Linked DNA regions of Diceros bicornis minor. The protein of the gene in region 1 purifies or fractionates together with the protein of each later gene. This does not show direct contact. Links are inferred from orthologs where the notes say so. Each region holds a gene or a part of one and is shown in the gene's direction. Other genes may lie near its edges.

Evidence for each region.
Region 2: the proteins of SQSTM1 (region 1) and interferon-inducible protein AIM2-like purify together in Homo sapiens (affinity purification with western blotting; 3 studies listed by BioGRID and IntAct, with this or other methods). This does not show direct contact. The link is inferred for Diceros bicornis minor from reciprocal best matches to the Homo sapiens genes SQSTM1 and AIM2.
Region 3: the proteins of SQSTM1 (region 1) and RPTOR purify together in Homo sapiens (affinity purification with western blotting; 3 studies listed by BioGRID). This does not show direct contact. The link is inferred for Diceros bicornis minor from reciprocal best matches to the Homo sapiens genes SQSTM1 and RPTOR.

Annotation. Positions count from the first base shown.
Region 1 is NC_080740.1:92,813,267-92,817,014, forward strand, and holds the start of SQSTM1 (sequestosome-1), read left to right. Parts: upstream 1-1,418; 5' UTR 1,419-1,453; coding exon 1,454-1,658; intron 1,659-3,748. UniProt on the Homo sapiens protein: Molecular adapter required for selective macroautophagy (aggrephagy) by acting as a bridge between polyubiquitinated proteins and autophagosomes.
Region 2 is NC_080743.1:63,954,563-63,958,310, reverse strand, and holds the start of interferon-inducible protein AIM2-like, read left to right. Parts: upstream 1-992; 5' UTR 993-2,297; intron 2,298-3,748. UniProt on the Homo sapiens protein: Sensor component of the AIM2 inflammasome, which mediates inflammasome activation in response to the presence of double-stranded DNA (dsDNA) in the cytosol, leading to subsequent pyroptosis.
Region 3 is NC_080757.1:60,046,855-60,050,602, forward strand, and holds the start of RPTOR (regulatory-associated protein of mTOR), read left to right. Parts: upstream 1-1,228; 5' UTR 1,229-1,239; coding exon 1,240-1,401; intron 1,402-3,748. UniProt on the Homo sapiens protein: Component of the mechanistic target of rapamycin complex 1 (mTORC1), an evolutionarily conserved central nutrient sensor that stimulates anabolic reactions and macromolecule biosynthesis to promote cellular biomass generation and growth.

The DNA of each region.
Region 1 (3,748 bases):
GCCTGTGGGCCGCTGCACCCGCTGCCTAGCACTGCCCCCTCTGTGGCTTTTGACCCTGTCTGCAGGGCAGTGGGCAGAGGGTCACTTTCCCAGGCTCACAGCGGGGGTGCAGGGAGGGGCCTGAGACGGGACCATCCTCTCTACAGGGCAGTTTGGGCAGGGGTGCCAAGGCCGGCTCTGGAGCCCTCTGGGAAGGACCAGCCACACCTATGAACAAGTCCTTGCTGTGCTCCCATGGGCGTGTCACCCTTGTACCTGACTAGCCAAATCCACTCAACTTTCTGTGGTCTTTGGGTTTCCCATCCCTTGAGGTTTTACCTGCTCTCACAAACCCCACCATGATGGAAAGGACATGACTTTGACTCAGCAGGTCTGAACTTCTACTCACAGGACCCCACCTGGGAGACCTCATAGGGTGACATACCCTTCCCACTCACCTCCTTTCCAGACCATCCCCCCCAACGACCCCCTTTCCCCAAGCCTTGCGAACAGGTCACTTTCATCACATAAAGCGGTGTTTCCTGGTTCCTAGCTGGGGAGCTGTTGGTTTGCCCCCTGGGCTGCCTGTGAGCCCAGTAGGCCTGAGACTCCACAGGTCCTTGGACATCGCCTGCTGAACTGAACCCAGGCGCCCAAAGGGAGTCTCTCCGGCTGCAGTGAACACTCTGACCACTGAGGCTCCGGGAAGCCTTAGCTGGTGGTCCAGCCCGGGTGGGGTGGGGGCACTCTGAGCTCTTCCAGCACCTCTCAACAGTGTGCTCTATTCAACTGGGAGCTCCTCTGGTGCTCAGGCCTGAATTGGGGGTATGTCCCTCCACCAGTAAGGGGCTGTGGCCAGGTTACCAGGCTAGGCCATCATGGAGGATGCTAGGGGTGGTGGAGTGGGCTGCCACCTGGGAAGCTGGTTGCTTTGAATGGATGGGGTCGGGGTTCTCAAGAGTTGCGGTCGGGACAGAACCTCGGGAGCCAGTTTATTCCGGCCGGCCCTGCCTGATGAGCACCTAGGAACCTTCTGGCTTCCGGCCTCTGTCGCCCCCCTCCCTCCTGCGCTGGGTATCCCCAGGCGGCCAGCGTTCTGCTCTGCTGAGTCATGGTCAGATCCAAGCCTGGGAGGGGTCTGGGGCGGGGACCCCAGCGGGTCCCTTGCCCCAGGTGCAGAGACCAGAGTCCAGACATCTGTCGGAGTCCTTGGGCCGGCCTTTCGGGGTCCCTGTTGTACTAGGGACTGTGACGACAGTGGTCACCAATGAGGCGGCGGGGACGGAGGGGGCGGCAGGCGCGGGGCCCCAGCAGGGCGGCTCGCGCGCGGCGGCCCGGGCGGGGGGGGCGGGGCCGGGAGCGCGCAGGCCCGGCTCCCAGGAGGCCGGGCGGGGCGGGGCTTCCCGCGCTCCCTACAAAAGCCGCGCCCGCGATAGCCGCTGCCGGCTGCGCTCCTGCTCCTCGACACCTGGTGATGGCGTCGCTCACGGTGAAGGCTTACCTTTTGGGCAAGGAGGACGCGGCCCGCGAGATCCGCCGCTTCAGCTTCTGCTTCAGCCCTGAGCTTGACGCAGAAGCTGAGGCCGTGGCTGGCCCCGGGCCATGCGAGCGGCTGCTGAGCCGGGTGGCCGCCCTGTTCCCCGCGCTGCGGCCCAGCGGCTTCCAGGCGCACTACCGCGGTGAGCCGGCCGGCGGCGCGGGGCCGTGACGCAGGCTGCCCGCGGGCCGGGTGGCCGCTTCTTCTTCTCGTCGGGCCTGGTGGCGCCTGCAGGGGTCTGCTGTGGCGGCTTTCTGGGTGGGCGGCGGCCGGCGTGCGACCCCAGTTCGACTTCGGGTGCCAGCCTGGTGACCGGGTGTGATGACCAAGGCTGCGCTTTCGAGCTAGGCGCTGCCGGGGTCTCCGGGCGGATCTCAGGCCCCGGGGCGGGACCTGCCGTCCCTCCCCCAGCTATGATGTCGCAGATGTTGGCAAGGGCGCGCTGGGGCGTCCTCGCCGGCTCGCGGCGGGCACAGGGTGGTCAGGCGGGCACTCAGGTTACAGACGTCTTGCTCTGCGCTGAGTCTGGGTCTGCCGGCGCCAGGTGGGGGTTCAGATAATGCCGTGGAAGCGCCTGGACTGGGCAGACGCGTAGGAAGGGGCGGCGGGGAGAGGACTGACGTCAGTAAACAAGCCTGGGCGTGGGGGGGACCAGGGGCGGTGCGGCCTGGCCAGGAGCCCCGGGCCGGCGGGGAGGGGAGGTCAGGGACACATCACAGAAGCCCAGACCTGGCCAAGTCCAGGCGTTATTCCATTGGCAGCGGTCAGAAGGACAGGATCAAAATGTATTTCAGAAGTGTTGGTGTAGAGACAGAAGCCCAGGGACGAGCTGAGTTTCTTGCTGTACTGGTGTAACTGGTGGCTGCTGGGGTGGGGTTGGGAGGTTTTTGTGGCTGGGAGGGAGGCGGGCAGCCAAGGGCGGCCCCTGGAGGGGCAGTGCTGGGACCTCCCTCAGGAGTGCTGCCAGCTGGCTAGGCCAGCTCCTGGTTTGTTTTGGTAATGATTTTATTGAGCTATAATTTATATACCATACAATTCACCCATTTAGAGTGTACAATTTTTAGCATATTCACAGATTTGTGCAACTGTCATCGCAATTTCAGAACCTTTTCATCACTTTTTAAAGGAACTTGTACTTTTAAAGGAACTGTTAGCTCTCTTCCCATTCCCATTCTCTCACCCCCCAGTGCCAAGTAACCACAAATCTACTCTTTTTCTCTATGGATTTTCCTATTCTGGACGTTTCATATAAATATATAAATGGAATATAATTTATATGCATTATATAATCATACAATATTTAGTTTTTCCTAACTGGTTTCTGCAATTAGCATGTTTTCAGGGTTCACTTATGTTGTAGCGTGTGTCAGTACTTTATGTCTCTTTGTGGCTGAATAATACCCCATTTTATGGACAGACCACGTTTTGTTTATCCATTTCTCAGCTGATGGATGTTTGGGTTGTTTCTACATTTTGACACTGCCCTGTTTTTTTTTGGTTTTTTGTGAGGAAGATCAGCCCTGAGCTAACATTCATGCCAATCCTCCTCTTTTTACTGAGGAAGACTGGCTCTGAGCTAATATCTGTGCCCATCTTCCTCCACTTTATGTGGGACGCCGCCACAGCATGGCCTGACAAGTGGTGCGTCTGTCTGCGCCCGGGATCTGACCTCAGGCTGCCAGCAGCAGAGCGAGTGCACTTAACTGCTATGCCACAGGGCCGGCCCTCCACTGCCCTGTTCTTATGTTGGATGTTGTGGCTGGTGGCCCTCAGACCTGGCCCAGCCTGCAGATGCATGTGGTGCTTTACAGCCCTCTGAGCCAGCATCTAGAGGTTGGAGACTACGTACCAATACATAACGTTAGCTTTGCTGGGGGAGACAGCAGGCAGATGTGCTCATCTGCTTTACTCTCCTAAACCACAAGAGGCCCAAGGCTTTTGGAGGAGCTGGGCCCCCCCAGAGCAGATCACAGGCAGAGACCTCCCACAGTGGAAGATGGGCTGGGGCCTTGCTGGCTGTAGACTGAGGCAGCACCTTCTGAAGGGGCAGATGACAGGCTGCTGCTGCCACTGCACGCACACACTCTGCCTCCTAAGCGCCCAGGGCTCAGCTGAAGTACTTACCTTCCAGGCAGTGGCAGAGTGAATGGGCAGTCTGGTTTCAGCCTGCTTCCCTCTGGCTCAGACAGGTGGGCTTCAGTGTAGAGCCCTGCAAGTGCCCCTTTAGCGCTG
Region 2 (3,748 bases), on another chromosome or scaffold:
TCTCCTAAGTATTGTTATTGGCAAATACACGCAAGCCCTGCTGTGTGACAGACCAGATTTGCGTGGGCATTTGGGAAGGAAGTAACTCCCATCTTGTGGTTTTAACTACAGTCTGCTTTTAACTGTATGTGTCAGGTTAGAGGCCCTTACTTGCTTTCCTGTCACGTTGCCATGCTCTTGGTTTACTGCATGTTCAATCAGCTTTCGTGATTCAAAAAAAAAGGAGGGAAAGAATGAATCACTGCCCTGGGGTGCAAGTTGGCAAGGGTGAGTGGGAAGCAAAGCAATAATTGTCAAAAGCTTTCTATGGATTGAGAAATAAATGCAGTGATATCAGTGATGTAACTCTAATCAAAATATGAACGTTTCTTCCCTCAGATAATTGACCATCCAAAAATATTCAAGATGGAGAAAAAGGAAAATCAGAACATGAACTGAGAGCTAATACATGTGTCAAAGAGAAAATAAGGAAATAAATCTTAAATGTAAGACCGGGTTGGAAACCAGTTAAACCAGGCTACTTTTTTACTAGAAGATAATTTGGAAGACAGAGACTTCTAAAAGCCCTAGAAATACTGGACATCACAGGAAAGGGCCCATTTTCCCAGAATTATGAAAGAGCACTAAACGAGGAGTCAAACTATCTTGGCTTTAGTCTTTAGTCTGTTCCTTTCTAGCCTTGTGACTTCAGGAAAGTCACTTAGCTTATCTAAGTCTCAGTTTCCTCATTAGTAAAGTGGAGATAATATGTTTTTCCTATTTAATACTGTTGATTTGATTTGTACATGGATATTAAAGGGCTTTGTAAAGTATTAAGAACCATGGTAACGACAGAGATATTATTAGTTTGGTATTTTCTTATTATTTATTAGTATTTTATTAGTGGGTTGACTTTACTTGTACATGGAAGCTTGTGTGCTATGATTGAGGGATTTCTAAAGGACGAGCTGCCTATCAAATTTCTCCTAAATTGGACTGTGGTAACATGATTAAATCATTCCATGAGATTCTATGTTTCTACAGTCCCTAGGTTATAAAAATCAGAAATATTAAAGTGCAAATGTATCAAAGACAAGACCCAATTCAGCTGTGGCCATCTTAGCTCTTGATCAGCTGGTCACCTAGTAATGTCTTGGGAGAACAGAGCAGAATTGCCACTAGAGGTGTCCAAAGAGCTTGGAGTCACCATGAAAGCACTAAATGCCTGTCAATAGAACTCCAGAGGGGAGCAAGACATTAAGAAAGAGAGCAAAGGTCTTCTGCAAATGGCTTCACAATTGTGACCTAGGCCAATTTGTTCTGCCTGGAGCTAGGGTTTTTGAGAGATGGCAGCCTGTGACTTTTTTTCTTGAATTGCTTCCCAGTGCCTTTTTTACCTAAACAAGTATTCTCACGACAGGATTCTGACAAACCCTCCTGGAGCTATTATGACTTTCCACCAAAAATTCATGCTTCCCACCAGGAAACCATCTTTCCAGACTGGTTTGTATCTGGATGGGGCAGGTGAGTGGATGTGATGTGTGCACAGGCCGAGGTGGTTAACAAGCAAATACACTTTCTCCACTCTCTTTTTTCTTGTCTTCTCACGGGATATTGATGCCAGTGGCGATGCTGGAAACCAAGTCTTGAAGATGGAACGGCCACAAAAAGGAAGGATCTGAACCCAGGCCACCAGTAGCAGAGCGCGTGCACTTAACCGCTAAGCCCTGTGGCCGGCCGGAGCGAGTTTTTTTTTTACTTTCACTACCTGTCAGTCTTGGGTTAGCAGGTGTTCTTCTAACTCACTTGCTATCCTCACTTAGGAATGCAAAGTGATGGTGACTCAATAATTTAGAATTTCGCTGGTCTCTGTGGCAGTGGAAAGGAGGTGCTGGAAAATACACCACGTGTCTGCTCATATTTCACTGACCCAAGCAAATTATATGGCCATGTCCAAATTTAGGAGGATGGAAAGTTCAATCCAGCTGTGGCAGATTGTGTAGTTGTTTTAGGAAATAATTTTCTCTTGTTCTCTGCCCCAGGAACAGAGTCTTCCGCCATCCTGATTTTGTAACTTGCTTTGGCTGATGCAATGTGGGCGGAAGTGACAGCATCCTGTTCCCAGGCAGAGGCTATAAAAGGAGTCTCATGTTTTCACCTTCTCTTTTGCACTCTACCGTACAGCAATGGAAGGGCAGGCTCCCAGGATCCATTAGTTCTTCGTTCAGGCTCCTGGTTTGAGAGACGTGTGACGCTGATCTAGAGCCTGGAGCAAAGCCCAGCGGAACCACTGCTGAGCCAAGACAAATCACAGAACGGTGAGCAAGAAATGTTTGTTGTTATAAGCCGCTAAGATTTCAGATTGTTTGTAACTGGAGCAAAAGCTAATACACTCCATCATGTACTCAGAAGGAAGAAAAAGCCAGAATATTGGTGACTATTCCAGATGACTACCATCTTGCCTTTTAACTGTTGTGAATATTGCAGAAGATAGCCAGCTAATAAATATAGAAGGAGCGATACTGCTAGAAATCACTATTTGCTTATCCTGAAATAATTGATTCACGCAAAAATTATCAATGAATTTTGAAACCATTAGGTGAAAGTTTGTTTGTTAGGAAATAGAATATTTGGATGAGGCCTAAGTATCACCCGACAGATTACTTGCTCTTTGCAAAAGATTAAATGCACCTTTAAAATAGACAGAACTGTTCTCATCAAACCCTGCCTCACTGATAGTGGACAGCTTGACATGTGTGCCTCCTGGTGTAATACAATATGAAGTAGCAGCACTGCCTTTGAAATACCCTTGCCTAAAATGTTTCATCTGTGTTTAATCAAGACTTTTCTAGTCTAGAGTTCCAGTGTATAGGGAATACAGGACACATAGAAGCATGGTAAATACCACTAGGAGAAACAACTCATCAGGAATGTGGTAATTTTATAAGGTGATCATTTTAGACTCTTCAAAATACTGATGTCATGGGGATAACAAAGCATTGCGTGTGTGTGTATGTGTGTGTGTGGCTGTTCTGGTTTAAAAGTAACAAAAGATATAAAACAAAGGTAGTGCATAAGCCATGATTAGATTCTAGTTTGAAAGAACTAACTTAACTATAAAAGCATCTGTTGGGCTGGCCCCATGGCTTAGTGGTTAAGTGCGCGTGCTCCGCTACTGGCGGCCCAGGTTCGGATCCCTGGCGCGCACTGACGCACTGCTTCTCTGGCCACGCTGAGGCCGCGTCGCACATACAGCAACTAGAAGGATGTGCAACTATGACATAGAACTATCTGCTGGGGCTTTGGGGGAAAAAAAGGAGGAGGATTGGCAATAGATGTTAGCTCAGAGCCAGTCTTTCTCAGCAAAAGGAGGATTAGCATGGATGTTAGCTTAGGGCTGATCTTCCTCGCAAAAAAATAAACTGAAATAAAAAAAAAATAAAAACATCTGTTGTTTGCTTTGGGAAATTTGACTGTGGCTTGGATATGGGATAACCGGTTTTTTTTTTTTTTTTTTTTTTTTTTAAGCTGAGGAAGATTCACTCTGAGCTAACATCTGTTGCCAATCTTCCTCTTTTTTTTTTGGCTTGAGCAGGATTTGCCCTGAGCTAACATCTGTGCAAATCTTCCTCCATTTTGCATGTGGGTCGCCACCATAGCATGGCTGCTGATGAGTGGTGTAGGTCCGTGTCTGGGAACCAGACCTGTGCCGCTGAAGTGGAGCGTGCTGAACCCAGCCACTAGGCCACAGGGCCAGCCCCAATAACAG
Region 3 (3,748 bases), on another chromosome or scaffold:
CATTGAAATTAAATTTTTCACTTGGTGTTCCCTGAAAAAATCAAAATCTGATTGATACTGTAGAGGATACTACGTGCAAAACAACCCACAACTCTATCTTTTTTTGTAATATTATCAATGATTCTTTCTGAAGCTTTTCCTGCCTTTTCAAAGTCTGGAAGAAACAAGAGGCTTGATTCCTTTAATTTCAGAAGCATGTAGGTCCATTTGTAATAATAAAAAGATTTTATCAAAATTAATTAAATGAATACAGTTTCATTTGTAGGATTGACTTTGATATTATGGATCTATTGAACGAATGGCGACAAACTCTGGAAAGCTAGATTGTGGCAGCCATGGTAACGGGGGACGGGGACTTCTCTCGCCGCATCCTGGGAAGCGCGGCCAGAACGCTCTGAGGAAGGTTGGCCTGTTAGCCACGCCGTAGATCGCGATGCATGCCGGGTCTTGGCAATATGGCGTCCTCCTTGATGTGCTGATGAGAGGAGTTTCACTGTAGCTTCAAACCAGAGGGCAAAACTCCCCAAACCCAGTAAGCCTACATTACTCGTTTTCTCCGCGGCTCCGGGTCGCTCGTTTCTCAGGACTCGTTCTCGGGCAGGAGGGAGCCACGGGGCCGAAGGCCAGGACCGGCGAGACCGCGCGGACCTGGGGCTGAGGAGCCGGCTGCGGGCGAGCACGATGGGCCGGTCCTGGCTCTGGTTGCAGCAGCTCCGGCGATTGCGGGACCCACAGGGCTGAGAGTGGCTGGAGGAGACCCGAGGCGCTCTGAACTTCTTCCCCTCGGCCGGAGACCTCAGCCCAGTCAGCGAACCGGCACCAAGAGCGGGCGGCCTGCCTGTCCTCGAATCGGCTGAGGCGTTGGAGGCCGAGAGCAGGGTCATCGTGAGGCCTGGAGTCTCACACGCCTTTGACAGCTCCGCTCGCAGCCCCTCCGGGGACGTACAGCCTCAGAAGCAGCCAGTGGCTTGGGATCTGGGGGCGTGTGTGTACGTGCGGAGCTCCTTGGGCTGCCCCATTTCCCTCCAGCTTTTCCCAGCCCCTCCGACTTCCCGCGCAGAGTTAAAGAGAAGGATCTCACACTTTTTGCCTGAATAAGGGTCTCCGCATACTCGCATTTCTTTTTCTACTCCCTCTTTTTCTGTTTCTTATTTCACCGATTCTGGTATACGCTAGTTTTTAAGGCTGGAGGTTCTCGAGCGCTTGCTGCCAAGGACTCCACCACCCCCTCCCCCCCTGATGGAGTCCGAGATGCTGCAGTCGCCTCTTCTGGGACTCGGGGAGGAAGATGAGGCCGACCTTACAGACTGGAACCTGCCTTTGGCTTTTATGAAAAAGAGGCACTGTGAGAAAATTGAAGGCTCCAAATCCTTAGCTCAGAGCTGGAGGATGAAGGATCGGGTAAGTGGATTCCAACTGCGCCCCTTGGAACCTGGTAGTCTTTTCACGGAAGAAAGTTCGGAGTTAGAAGAGTGTCCTTGGGAAAGCGGCGATATTTTTCCCAGCCACATGTTGCAAGTTAACTGAAAAGCACAAAAACCATTTCAGACTCCAGTTTTGGGTTGTAAATGGAAAAGCGTGTTTTGGTTAGTAGTTATTCACTGGATAGTGTTAATTCCGTTCAAACTTAGTTCTAATTCAGATAATAAAGGTTAAGTAAGTTCGAAAGTACCGCACTGCAAGTATTTACACGCTCTTTGATACACTTAGTGCTGTTAACACGTGGAGGAAAGACAACTTAAGATATAATACTTGTGTCCACGTGGTTAGTCTACTTTTGTGGTTAGTTTACTTTTTTTGTCCATGCTAGGTGAAGTGCAGAAGTCTAATATAGCATGCTAGGAAACGAGATTACTGACAAATGTTTAGCTAGTAACAAATTAATGCAAAGTTATTTTAAAGTTACAGTGAACTTTATCTAGCCTTCTAAACAATTTGTCTTGAATCCAGACTTTCCTCCTTTTATGTTGTGTTATGTTGCTATAACTTGGAGACAGAATTTCTCCAATCTCTCACTCCCGTAGTGGAGTGAGAGTATAATGGATTGGAATTTGAATCCAGCTTTTAGGAGGTCCCCATGGTGTTGGAGTGTGGACAGTGACTCACAAACAGCTAGTAGGAAGGAAAACAGCCAATTTTGTTGAATCTGCGCTTAATCAACCACCATCTATTTCCTGTTCTCCAAAAGAGCGGGGCTATCTCGTCTATGCACACTTATAATTTGTCTTTTTATGAATTATTTTCTCCTTCAAAACTGTCTTTATTTATTTGAACGTTTTAGTGGTATCAGAGGGGTAATTGGTGTTACAGTACAATGTGATTGCTCTGGGCTTATGAATATGTTTATGTAAGATTATTGTTTTTATTATATGATGTTGGACATATATAAGATTACTCTATGGTAATTCTAGTTAGTCACTAGTAACCAGTGCTTCAGTTAGTGATTTGGCTTACTTTTAAAAGGTTAGGAAAATTTGTTTCCTCCAAAAGTAGTTTAAGGAGTAAAAGAGGTGATCATTGGAAGAGAATGTATAAAGTCTGCCTTATGGACATCTTGAGTACAAATTATATAGTTCAAAACTTTTGTGGTTGCTATGCATATATGAAAAGAAATTTATTTTAAAGTAACCATCTAATTTTTTTTTCATTCTATTAGGAGGGCATTTTTTTTTTCTTTTGAAATGTGATTCCCTCTGCTACCCTAAACCCATGCTCAAACTGTCCAAAACTGATTAATGGATATATTTTTGACCTTTTAATTAAAGCATTAATTTGTTAATGATCAACATTCCCTGATAAGCTCTTCATAGGTTAAGAGAAAGAAAAGTTCTATGAGTCTGAGTAATTACTGAGATTACTACTTAGAAAAGAGCCAAGGGAGAAAGTTTGCTGTATATGACCTTTGCAAGTTGTTGAATAAAGAAGAGAATCAGCAGCTAATGTTTTTAGTTAAGTTTGTGAGAGCATGGCATCTTCACAGTCTTTGGAGACTCTTTCCCCTGGTTAGACCCTGGGGGTACCTTTTAGGTACACCCAACTAGGATGAAGGTTGCAAATTCCAGTGATGCTAAGAGTTGGAAGGTAGCCTAAATGAATGAAACAGGCAGGATATAAGAAGAATAATGGCATAGGTTCAAAACCGACATTTGATTCGTGTGTGATTTTCTGGAGGGTGTGAACAGCAGGGCTCTGACGAGCACATGCCGAAGCAGCTAAAGGGGCAGCTGGGCCTCGGCCAGATTTCTCTCCCTTTCTCTTGCTCTCTTTTTCTTTGAGAAGCCAGAAAACTTTTTTTTTTTTTTTTTAATGTGAAGTCTTTCAATTTTAAAATATTGGCACTAATTCAGATATTACAAACACAAAGTAGTCCAACACTGTAGGCCAAACAAACCCAGTTTGTGGGGTTGGTTCTGGCCAGTGGGTTACCCGTGTGTGACTTCTGCTGTAATATGGCAGCTCCAGGCAGCCGCTCTGACTCGAGGAATCCTGAGCACACAGGCTTTCAGGCCAGATTGTCTCCCTGTGCTGGAGGTGGCCTCCAGCAGTCTGATGGAGCAGCATCTTTGTAAAGCAACACGTGTGGGCCCAGTTGTCCTGTACTAGGACCTACACAGACCACTTTTCTTGGTGGGCTGTTGACTGCTCTTTTTTTTTTAAGAATTTTTTTTTTTTTAATTAATTTATTTTCCCCCGAAGCCCCGGTAGATAGTTGTATGTGATAGTTGCACATCCTTCTAGTTGCTGTATG